2 linked regions of the Neodiprion lecontei genome follow. The protein of the gene in region 1 purifies or fractionates together with the protein of each later gene. This does not show direct contact. Links are inferred from orthologs where the notes say so. Each region holds a gene or a part of one and is shown on either strand. Other genes may lie near its edges.

The links.
Region 2: the proteins of DNA replication licensing factor Mcm7 (region 1) and cell division control protein 45 homolog purify together in Drosophila melanogaster (affinity purification with western blotting; 3 studies listed by BioGRID, with this or other methods). This does not show direct contact. The link is inferred for Neodiprion lecontei from reciprocal best matches to the Drosophila melanogaster genes Mcm7 and Cdc45.

What each region holds. Positions count from the first base shown.
Region 1 is NC_060261.1:14,200,757-14,205,980, forward strand, and holds the start of DNA replication licensing factor Mcm7, read left to right. Parts: upstream 1-2,105; 5' UTR 2,106-2,391; coding exon 2,392-2,431; intron 2,432-2,897; exon of another isoform or gene 2,898-2,918; intron 2,919-4,427; coding exon 4,428-4,636; intron 4,637-5,040; coding exon 5,041-5,204; intron 5,205-5,224.
Region 2 is NC_060262.1:27,231,221-27,238,927, forward strand, and holds cell division control protein 45 homolog, read right to left. Parts: upstream 5,798-7,707; 5' UTR 5,424-5,797; coding exon 5,373-5,423; intron 4,542-5,372; coding exon 4,389-4,541; intron 3,973-4,388; coding exon 3,763-3,972; intron 3,323-3,762; coding exon 3,140-3,322; intron 3,036-3,139; coding exon 2,806-3,035; intron 2,692-2,805; coding exon 2,355-2,691; intron 2,278-2,354; coding exon 1,883-2,277; intron 1,610-1,882; coding exon 1,533-1,609; intron 1,466-1,532; coding exon 1,398-1,465; 3' UTR 515-1,397; downstream 1-514. Other genes in the region: probable 18S rRNA (guanine-N(7))-methyltransferase, read left to right, coding at 6,212-6,250, 6,340-6,377, 6,466-6,644, 6,825-7,251, 7,418-7,562.

The sequences.
Region 1 (5,224 bases):
TTCCGTCTTAGAAACGACTAAAAACATTTGTTAGATTATCGTATATACATACGTATACCTGCACACATTAAAAAAGCACATTCCATGGTTATTTTCACATTTTTTGAGTGAAAAACAGCATACTTGTTTCATTATAATATCACGTTTTTGGTTTCAAACATGCCCTAGTATATTGAGCTGAATCAGCTGGATGTCATTTTTCTTACACGTAAACAAATTATGTATATACGATCGTGTCATTTTATTATTAGTCAGCTCAACAACACTTGCACGGAACGTAATGTAATGAACATGATCAATGTATTTTTTTGAACTTAGGGATAGTGTTGTGGAGAACTATTTGAATTTCAACTATGCGGCTATTGCTAAGCATTGCTAGATCAACATATGTGATGATTGTAATAGAATTCGTGAAAAAGTGATTATCCTGAACGGAATATCCTGAAAATATTAATCCTGAACGGAAAATCACTTTTTTTCCTCATGTAAGCGTAGTGTGAAAAGACATATAGGACTAGACGCGAAAGTTTATAAAAAGTATTTGCTGCCTGATTGGTTGCACGTTCTCGAGAGATCAGAGAATATATATATATTTATGAAGTAAAATGCATCCTGTGGTCAGAAGGCCCAAAGTCGACTGAATTATTTATTCAGTGTTCATCAAATCACGCACGTCAGCATATAACTAGTCTATATAATTAATAGCTTGAAGAACACGGTAAACTATATTTACAATTGTATATCAATCTTATTTGTGTCAAAGAAAAAGAAAAAAGAAAATACTGATCAAAGTTAAGGGGATATATCCATTATTGGGCATATGAAAATTCATTCAATTTGCTATTATTCTAGAAGAACAAAGATTGCCTGCATTCAAAGACGTATCTTTGTAGCCAATTGTTGAGTGTTCACTCGTTATTTAATTATTTTCTTCATTTTGATCACAATCACAAACTATAAAGTCAAATTTACTCTCACGCGACTACTGACTATCTACCTTTAAAAATCTTGTATGCATTTCGTATGATTTAATGGCGCTTTCAAATTGTCTACACTAAAATGGATGGATCCCCTTAAGGTAATAAAATACGTAAAGTAGTAATTTTATGATACGTCCTGCACCCGGGATATCGGAATTGAATGTGCGATGCAATATAATACGGGTCGATAATGATTTTATAAATATGATGTCTAAAATGTGTATTTTGAACTTAAGAACTATTGTCTAGTGTAATTAGGAATATAACTTATTTCCATTTTTTCTGAATTATTCCTCGTGAATCTTAAGAGGCAGAATTAGGATATTAATCAATTAGGACAGTTTAAGGATAATAATTATTACTCCAATGATCCTGTTATGCACAAAAATCCGTGACTACTGAATAAGTTAAGATCTAAAACAGTCTCAAAACCTACACAGAAGTATCAATACCTTTAGATATTATCATCCCGTTGCACCCATACTAGGATCATTTATTATATGGAGAAATTTTATCGGAAAGTAATTGTTTTCTTTTTGTTGCATTAAGAATTGAACAACTAATGTATTCACAACTGAGCACTTCAAAAATGGGGGCTAACATTGAACAGTCTGTAGCTACTATTCGCGGGCATGTATCCCGATTAATAAAGCGGTTACAATAAACAATGGTTTGTTTTATCCAGCGATATACATATATACACAAACACAATTATAATTTCATTATATTTATTATAACTAACATCATAAATCGACAAATAGTTTTTTAAATAAAACTTTACTTTTGCTCAAATCTCGTGTATAATTTTTGTATCAACTAGAGGTCCACAAAAAGCGTTGTAATTACTTACCCTGTGCCTAGTTTATTTTTTTGTACCAAAATTTATCACGTGAATGCATTTCTTGCTTCCGTGTTTCAGAAACGGCATTTACTGCAATGAGATGAGATGTCAATTGTAAAAGATAGAATAACACGTAAAATGATTGAAGAAACTATAGAGCTGGTACAGCACGCAAGTAATATGACTGTTATTGTTAAAAAAGTAAATCGAGGACGTTTATGATTTGCAATATGCCAACAAAGTTGAACGTTCAGTAGAATGGCTAATACTTTCTTCTAACACGGTTATTCGATCTTAAGTATGTTACACACATACCATTCACATGCCTTTAGTCAGCATAAAGTTACCTCTAATCAAAACCCGCGCCCAAACTCTGCCAGCGACAGTGGGGCCTCTAGCGCACTTTCACATGCACCTACTTTTTGCGATTGCGCGGCAAATATGGCGGGAAAACTTCGCCGGCGTCAGTTGTTCCCAACGTGCTGCTGTGTTTAGTCGAAGTCCAGTTGTTTCATCACTTTAACTTTGGCGGTTGATTATTGTCGGTGGTAAACCAAGTCAAGAGTAAAAATGCCTACGAAAGTAAATAGAGACTACACAAAAGACAAAGGTGAGCTGCTTAAACCAATTAGTAATTTAACCCTGTAGTTTATTGATCAATTGATAATTCGATAACCTCAAACGTAGTGTTGTTATTTTCCAAGCTGCATTTGAAGCACTCGCAGTTCTGACTATTAGTTAAAATCGATTAGCGAAGAGAGTCAGTCAACGGCATTGTGTTGAGCCGTGCAACAAGGAAACTGAGATAAAAGTTCAAATTTAAAAAACAGTCAAAATTCCCTAAGAAGGCTTACAGGGTTGTCGTATGGGAACAATCTCTCCTCGTTGTTATTCTTGACAGTTGAATCTGTTCAGGGATCTGATGTCTTCGTAAAGTCAATTGCATATTGATTTTAATTACTCAGTTAACTTGTTCGCTGTTGCTTGTTGCACAGTAGAATGACCGCCGGATCTCTCCTTTCCCAGCTGACTTGTTTAATACATATATCAAGTCTCTGACGGTGACACACACTGGCAGCATAATTGATACTATAATGGTTGGTTTACAGTTGGATTGTTCACCGAGTTTTGCAAGTTGGTTCATTTTGGAAGTTCCAACAAATTGTATAATATTCACTAATAGTTTATCACTAACAGTGTAATGATACTGAAGCAATTTCTCAGTCGTTCTGGTTCTTGTGTTTTATTGTGTTGACTAAAAAATCTCAAGAAGAAATTTTATGTGGAATGAATCCAAGCAATTAAACTAGGAAGTCCCCACAAAGTCTTCTTTCAGAATCTTAGATGTTTCAACGATTGTCGATGAAGTTTGTAAGAATTCCAGTTCGTCTCTTTTAAGAACACCTACAGAGAGAGAAGATTTGCTGATTTTGATGAATTTTTATCCAACAAATTCATAATAAAATGTATTAATTTTTTTTGCAACTCACATAGGGCTAAAATACAATTTCTAACAGATATAAGAAAATTCCAATAAAAAAATACTAATTTGTCTTTCCAGATAAATGCTGTTACACTAGATTAACTAGTGTCATACATTCCTAAAGTTAATTATTGTTACCGAAGATCAATTTTGTTGACTTGGAATTTTTTGTCTTTAGTCTGTGAATGATTGAAGACAAAGCTTTGAGCGAAAAACAAACTATTTCGCTGAGAGATTAACTACTGGGTGGCCACTGGTCAGGGAAAACTGGAATGTCAGAGAATTTTTCAATTAGTTGGAGAATTTTGTGTGGCATGGAAAGAAAAAGAATAAAGCTTCCCTCACGAAGAACCTAAATTCTAAGAACAAATTTTTCTCATGTGCTCAGTTCCATGACCATTAAATAAATCATAAACATATTTTTGAATACTGATTGATTGGGAGCTTTATTTATTAGATACTCGAATTGACCCTAATAGTTCAGATTTTAGTCAGGGAAAAATTATAATTTGGTCAGGAAAAGTTTGAGAAAAGTCACAGAATTTTTTTGACTATCTTTGGTAGCTGCCATGAACTATGAATAAAATCACAAATAAATAATAAAACTTGGAAAAATTACATTCACAAAAGAAATTGCAAATAACTTAACCACTCTATAGGTACCTCGTGTGTATCTTGTAGTTTTCAATAGCAATAGATCACGATGATTTAAAAAACCTCTGGCGGTGGGGTATCGAAAACCAAACTCATTGGAACCTCTGCTGTGTGATCTCGGTGTAACTTGTGCACAATAACTGGTGGTATGGTATATATGGTATATATATAATATGGTTTAGAAATAAGCTTGCGTCGTCATCGACATAACTTAAATGGTTTTAATCAAAGTTATTAGATTCAGCCACTCACATTAACTCCCAACTTTAACTGTATAACGGAATTAGAATTGATATTTGTTAAGGTGATGCACAAGGGTCTGAACAGTTTGAAATGCTTCCTTCAGGTAGTATAAACTGAAATTGTGTCATGGACTGAATGCGGCAATAATCCATTATCTCTATTTTGACATTAAGTAATTTTCACCAATACTGAGTGACTCACACCAAGTACCTGATCTTTGTTACAGAACAGCTCAAGCAGTTCTTTGCCGAGTATGCGAAAATGGATGATAAATCAGGCGATAAGACGTTTAAATATCGCACTCAACTCACCAATATTGCTCATAGAGAGCAAGTTGCATTTATCATTGAACTTGACGACGTCGCTGAATTTGATGACGAATTGGCTGAAGCTATACAATATAATACTCGTCGTTATACTACATTAGTATCAGAGGTACAATGAGAGAAGAGTAATCATTGAAAGCATTTCTCTTATTTTTGACAGAAAACTGTTAGTAATTTTCAAAGCTTGTAGCTGCTATTTGTCAAGTCAACTTATAAAATTGAACAGAGCCTTCAGAAAACTAATACCCAATTTCACCTTGGAAGTCCGCACTTTGTTTATACAGAAACAATTTGTGTCATTCTGTGTCAGATGGGATGAAAATTCGTAATATTAATATGCAACAATAGATTTTTCAGAAAAATCTCTATTAAACAGTATAAAATTGTTCAAAATTTAGTAAAACGATATGATGCAAAACATAATCACATTTTTCAAATGCAAACCCTTCAGTTTAATTCCTAAGTTACAAAATGATGTTTTTCAATGTTACGAATTTCAATCTCATCCTTTAGATAGTCCAGGAAATGTTACCCGACTTTAAAGAAAGAGTCGTACCACCTAAAGATTCATTGGATGTTTATATTGAGCATCGTTTGTTGATGGAGCAACGCAACAGACATCCTGGAGATCAGAGGGACCCAAGAAACAATTATCCACCAGAGCTCATGCGACGATTGTGAGTAATGCATTGATCTA
Region 2 (7,707 bases), on another chromosome or scaffold:
AAGTTTATATAGAAAAACAAATCATTCAAAAAAAAAAATCTATTGAATACTCTCCAATAAAAATTACTTTTTTTTTCATTTGTAATTTGTAATGTTACTTATCAATTACATATTACTTTTTTAAATTTATAATGCAGCACACATCCGTTACACATTATGCAGTGTAATGTGTAATGAATATAGTAATGCATTATCAAAGTAATGTTCACAACTCTGATTCCTTCTTAGCAAAATTTTAAATGGTGCAGTTCTCTCACTGAGGGTAACGCATTCAACTATCGATTGTAGCTGCATGCTTCAGTTTCCGCGTTTTAGAATGTGCCAGTTACAAAATATGGGCACGTTGTATTCATAAAATATTTATGAATACTTCAAGGTGGTCTGGAATATACAGTTTGTGAATGAGCTGATGTTGATGAAACTTGCGAGTTTGCAATTTACTGTAGAAACCAGAGGTGTGATAACAAAAACGTATACAGCGTTTAAGTTGGGATTGACAACAAATATCTTCAACTCATTTTTAAAAAACGCATGTATTTATTCGGTTCACTTTTACTTATTGCGTAATGTCTGTATCAAATTATCATATTAATGTTCGACGGTTGACCATGACCCTAAGTTATAAATTGATGCTTACATTATCGTTAGAGCTAAGTCTAGTATCACTCTTAAAATCATTCTATGTACAATAAAGAGTTTATTATTCATTCGAACACATCCGTGGCTAAACTTCAGAGTGACGTGACTCCTGTACCCAAGCACACAAGAGATGCCCGTTTACGGCGTAGCCACCGGAATCAAATACTCAAGAGTATATTTTACGAATTCAATATTCTCATTCCATTTTATACAAAGCTAATAAATCTGCTTTACTAAAGTTTACTTCACATATGGTGAACTGACAAAAAATTAGTGAGACTCATAAGTAAACGAATTAGTGACAGTAACTTATAGTAGTTCGATCGCATCCTAATTGTTGGAAAAAATTCGTCAAACAAGTCGTAAAATAAAACAAGACTTTTTGAAGTCCCTTATTAACGATTCAATCAAGAAATTTGATATTCTGCAAATCCGTGTATTGATGACCAGTACATTGAAACTGTCAAATATTACCTGAATGCTTAAAATTTGTAAAGGAAATCTAGTTATAGGTAATGTGAAATTAGATTAATATGTCAAATAAATTAAACTACAGATTCGATTAAAATAAAGTTAAAGCTTGTTACGTCGCTGGTTCTAAAATATGTCTGGGTTTAGAAATGTTGATCATAATACCCATAGTTGCATTGTTATACATTGCTAATCACCTGTGAGCAGGTGATCTGAATTGTATAGGTAGATTGATATCCACTACAATAAAAACTATAAACTAAATTTTAATATTTCTACTTAACTATTTATATAATCAGGAGCGCTGTCAATGCATCAAAGAACTTTGGCCGCTCTTGAATCTTCAGTCTTATTACTGGTAAACATGAAAATAACAATATTTGTAAATATTAAATAAAAGTTTTTCAAGTTTTATTACTCACTTGTTGTATCGAAGTAGTCCGCCTCTATATACGAATTGGTATTTTTAGCAGCTTGCTCGAATGCCCTTCCAAAGAGGCTAGTAATGTTAAATTCATGAGTCAGATAGTAATTCACATTTTTACAGCGACAAGTTTACGTTGCGAGGATTTTCATAATGCAAGATTACGTTAGACACAAATTTTTTTTACTTTACATATTCAGTTGCCAATTAATCATATACTTTGAATATATAATTTTTGAGAATTTTCTTTGTTTGCAATTCTGCGTGTGAATATGCATGCGGACTGTGCGGTTTGTGATTTGTTGAAGAGTCATTTTGCGAAAAATTGACATGCAAACGTTATCTCACCTTCTAGGTTGATCTTCGCATAGTGGTGGTATACCAACAACGAGGCAAGTACCGTCTTCTTCGCTGAAAGGTGCAGTAGCAATCAGTGGCCACTTAGTTGCGTTCCTGTATCTTGATGTTTCTACGTATGCTTTTAGTGTAAACTGTGCCAACATGATCAATGCGTGCTCATGTGCAAATAATCGAGTATCTAACGTGCCATCTTGGATAACAATATAAAGAAATGGACCTGCATTCTTTACTTGTTTCATTTCTAAGATGCCTTGAGCTGTCTTATAAATGTTGCTAAGCATTAGTTTTGCCTTTTCTATGCCTCTTTCTACAACATCTTTCTTCTTGCGAGATAGACAGTCCAAAGCATCTAAAAAGCAGTGTTGTGGTAATCTTTCTTTTGTCTGCAAAGAAACAAGTTTGTCGGTTTGTAGTTTGAAAGTGTTGGAAATATGGTTCATGGAAACTTATCAAAACCCACCGTGGACTCAAGTAAGGCCAGCATAGAGTATACCACGTCTGAGGCACAGTATTTAAATCTATATCCGTACTGCAGGGTAAAACTAGCACCAACAATGCTGTCAACATTGTATTTCGATGCTAATTTTTCAATCATCTGTTTAAACTCGTGTCGTAAGCTGAGATCCATGGCTGAAAATCGTTGCTTAGATTGTGCCAGAGGTAAACCCATCTCAGCCAGGAGTTCCCTAAGGCGATTTTCACCTCTTAAAGACCATAAGCGAAGAGAAACCGCCGTTGGTACGGAATGTTTTAGACTGGCTTCAACTGTCCAATGACGATACAGAGCCAACTGAAGGCTGTTAAATGTTACTAAGGAATTTACTAGTCTTGATATTCACTATTAATTATTTCTTCTGTATTCTTATGAAACTACAAAATGTATATAACATGCACGAATTTATGAAGGATACTCCTTGTCGTAAGTAAGTTTGACTGCTGTGGCGTGTTGCTTTTCACTGTCCGTAACTCTATGACTTAGTCTCGAAACGTGACTCTGGAGATTTCCTGTTTCTAAAACACTAACCCTGGATTCAACTTTTCCAAGAATTGCTTGTTCTGTAGCTCCTATAATCCCCCACCACGCCACGTCCAACGTATCTCGTGAGAGTTTCCATGCTAACTCATAGATTATCACAGCACTCTAAGGGTAAGCCATACATTAAAGCCTACGTTTTTTGAAACTCCCTAGTTAGTACAGCCATGTTTACAGATAAGTATTTAGATAAATTATTTGTTATTTCATACCGATCGACCATAGTAGCTGTATTGTGTGTAATTAAACATAATTTGTGTTCTACTCGCATCCCACAACCTTCGATTTCTTCGTTTTTCAATTTCTTCTTCATTCAATCGCCGACGTTTCGATAGCCTACTTTCTGCCGCCACACTCGAATCATCTTCATCTGTGTCTTCTTCTTCTTCATCAGACTGAATAGTGAAGCAAGTTCAGAATTGAAAAGAGGGCAATTATTAGTGCAAGCACTGTCAACTCCCATATGAGTTTGAAGTTGGTAATGTTAATGTAATGAAACATGAAGTAAAAATCATCACTTTGTAAATAATGCAACTGCAATTGCAAAGTAAATATGTTCTACTTCATTCCAATAGATGAAATGATAATTCCGTCTGAAAATTATCTGTTACATTACCGCTATCAGCTTCAACCTGTTACCCCTATTCTTAGCAGAATGTTCTCAACAAAACTACCATAATTGATGTTGTATTTATAAAATCCATCAAACAAATTATTTTATATAATAAAGTAACAACAAATATTTTTAAAAAGCTTCATATAATCTGTACGATAAATCTTTATTAAGCTTGATAAGTTTACGAGAAATCTATTATATAGGTTAAATGATACTTACAGAATTATCTCTAAAGACCTCGGTATATTCTGGTATCTTTTCTTCATTGTCAGGCTGACCTAGGATTCTGACTTGACTCTCTGAATAGACGTTGCATAAATCGTAAGGTCTATGACTGTCGAGAATGTAAAATACCACACTTTCATCTGGCTGTAGAAGTTCCACAATATCCAATGTTCCACCACAATTTACTAATATTACGTATTTCACCTAATACAGTAAAATATATTAATAAAATATAAACATCTATAAGTATTCTCTTTATTGATCTGTCAAATTAGATGTATTTCAATAGTTTCATAGTGAATAATAAACCAAGGTTTAGAAAATATTAATTCCTGTGTTTTTTAATTTCAATGCGTAGATCTTGCAAAAGTTTCTATGTTTTTGTTCGTTCATGTTTGTGCCATCAATTACACCTCAAGATGAAAAAATACATAGAACTGAATATATACGACTTCATGATTATACAGAAATAAAGAAATAGAACAAAAACTAAGAACATTTACTGACGAAAAAACATTGGAATAAGTGATAATGAATCTTTTACTTTATTATCTGGACCGTGAACTTGAATATGTATTGTTCTACTGGTTATACAAAGGAGCAAAGATTTTGATGGTTACCTCTTCACAGTTCTCTTCATATGCTTGAACTAAGTCTTGAATTCCACGCACAGGAACCAGTGTATATACAATGTTGTCATTTTTTAAAAGGTACTGCAATATTTTGCATGCACATATTGCATCGATGTCAAAATTGACTAACAATAAGCATCTCTAAAAACAAAGGAAAATTCAATCGTTAGTATATAAACAATGGTTTAGCACAGTTGACTTTGTTGACGAATGGTTCTTAGGATAATGATTAATAAACCAAGAAATAAATAGAAATAAGTGCTAAGATCAAGGAAAATGCATTATCTATAGGAAACAAAATCCTTTAATAAATTTATATGAGAACATTTGGTTCAACGACATAAACAAACGGACACTACTGTAATAGTTGATCAAATGTGTTTTTCGAAAAAATTAGGTACTCTCGGTGATAAGGTTGCAAGTTAAGTATTGTCAAGATCGAAATTTCAAAACACTGAAATTTTTTAAGGCTGTGTGACTTAAGGAAAACATTCAAAAATCAGATGGCAACACCCAACACGTAAATAAGTATGCAAGGAAGAAAAAGGGCGCCTAAATCATATGGTTTACCACTCCGAATTTTCGTCTTTTTATATTCACACTACTCTTAAGCTAATAAAAATTATTATAAGGTCGAAGAGCGAGCACAAAACCGGAAACAAAAGTTACAAAATGATAAACGGAATAATGAAAAGAACGGGACTGTTTACTTACGTATTTACATCAGTTCTAACGACTCATTTTCTCATCATTTTCAAAGACAACGAGTGAAAGAAAGACACGATTAAATATCGAATAATTCGATACAAAGTAATTAAGTACAGTTAGAAAATTGGGTCAGATTTCAAAATACTTTATTGTTAATTAGTCGTGCAATTAGGCAACCTCAAAAATTACCTCTCCGAGAGAGAGGCACACGTAAACCATTCCTCTCGTCATTGTACAGAGATCAGTCGTAAAATATTCACTTACGTTTCCTAATATTTCGTTATAAAACTCAGTTTGAATATTGTCCAAAAACATGATGCCCTCGTCAAACACATGGAAGAGGAATTTTTATTTTACAATCGTCAAAACACCACCATGATCCGTTTGCAAACTGCGAATACCGCGAGGCGCGAACGACGACTGTGGGACTGCGCAGTGCGCAGCAGCTGCTCTCTGCTCTCGACGCGCTCCTGTGGTATTCACTGGCGTTTTACCAAGTTCCAGTATTTCAAACAATTTCAAAGTATGACTTTCAATCTTTGCGAAAGGAAATCACTACAGAATCATAGAGCTTATACTAGAATGCGTGAAAACACAAGGGAATCACAGTTCGATACCCTAATACGGTTCTGTGTATTGATTATAAGGTTGACTGACTCCCGCCGATAAAGAAGCTACCGAGTCGTTAACACGGCTTTTTGTGGCCAAGTCCACTTACTCGTAAAGTTCTGATTGAGAAAATTTCCCCAAGATGAACGTCTTTGAAATCTTCCGTCAACGCTGTAGAACGCCAACGTGTTTTCAAATGATTATTTTTTACGCTAAATTTCAGTCGCACGCATAAAGTACGGAAAAGTAATTACTCAGATTATCATACACTAATCTCTGGTGCAGCATAGGGCAAATGAATGGACAAACGCAGAGCGGAACTTATAAGACCACGTGACAATTGACCAATCAGTGCATTCGATAACTAAATCGCCCAAGCCAAGGAACGGCCTCGTGACCTCGCCAAGCACGTGTCATGTCAAAGTGGTGTATGATATTAATAACGTTATTCTCCGGAACTTGATTTGTCTCGAAAAGAAGCAACAGATTGGAACATGTCTAGACGACCAGAGCATTCGGCACCGCCTGAAGTGGTACGATTAGACATCCACTTCTACTATTCGTACGTCTGAATGACTTCTAGGTTACCTCAAATAATTGTTACGTTTTCTGTTATTTACAGTTCTACAATGAAGTGGAAGCACAGAAATACACACAGAAGTATGAGTCTATTTTTGCGACAATATATCCGGTGATACCGAATTTGCTCAAAACTTGTCTCGTTTGACTCCAAAACTTACATTTTTAGTTCTCGGATGATGGATATTCAAGTTCAAATGTGCGAACGAGCCATTGAATTGCTGTTGTTACCTGAAGACGAGCCATGCCTTCTTCTTGACATTGGTTGTGGATCTGGACTTAGCGGAAGCGTATTAGAAGACCAAGGCCACACGTGGATCGGTATCGATATATCTCCTGCAATGTTGAGTATGTTTCGACTATTACATTGGGTATTTTCTAAAACTGTCATATAATGTTCTTTTTGACTTAGTGTCGTAATTGTTCATTTTCATTTGGTGAATGTGGACGAAAATTATAAACAATGAAAAATTCCCAATGTTTGGAGACGCTTAGGATCAAATTGTAAATGTATTCTTGTTATTTCAGACGTAGCTAAAGAGCGGGAGGTTGAGGGTGATCTTATTCTGAGTGATATGGGACAAGGGGTGCCTTTTAGAGCTGGCAGCTTTGATGGAGCTGTGAGCATATCTGCGTTACAGTGGCTTTGCAATGCTGACAAAACTTCACACAATCCAGTCAAACGACTGTATCAGTTCTTTTCCTCCCTTTTCGCTTCATTAGGAAGGACAGCTAGAGCTGTCTTTCAATTTTATCCAGAAAATAGCGACCAGATTGAGTTGGTCACAACGCAAGCGACCAAAGCTGGGTTCTTTGGTGGTATAGTTGTTGATTTTCCAAACAGTACCAAGGCTAAAAAATTCTTTCTAGTTCTGATGACTGGTGGCGCAATGCCTCTTCCTAAGGCATTGGGAACTGGTGATGATAATACTGTAGTGAATTACGCGTCAAAAAGGTGTGTGGGAGTTCTAATACTATACCAAATTCAGAAACCATATTCAAACAAAGTTATAGAATTGTTAATAGCTTTTGGATTCCTTAATTTTTCTTTTGTTGAATAATTAATTTAATAATTTAATTGTATTGGGATACTGACGATTTCTTTTTCTTAAAAATTATAGGGAGCGAACTATGAAGGTACGCGGAAAGGCACTAAAGAAAAGTAGAGAGTGGATTTTGGAAAAGAAAGAGAGAAGACGGAGACAGGGCAAGGAGGTCAGAGATAATTCAAAATATACGGGCCGAAAGAGGAGTGGTCGGTTCTGAAATCTCTTAATTCTATCAGCTGTAACTACTCGTAATAATAGTTTATTTAAATTAACAAATATTCTCAGCACCTTGAGAAATAAAAAATCTAAATTCCTATGAAAATTCGTGTAATTAATTCCAATTCTATCGACAATATGACTTC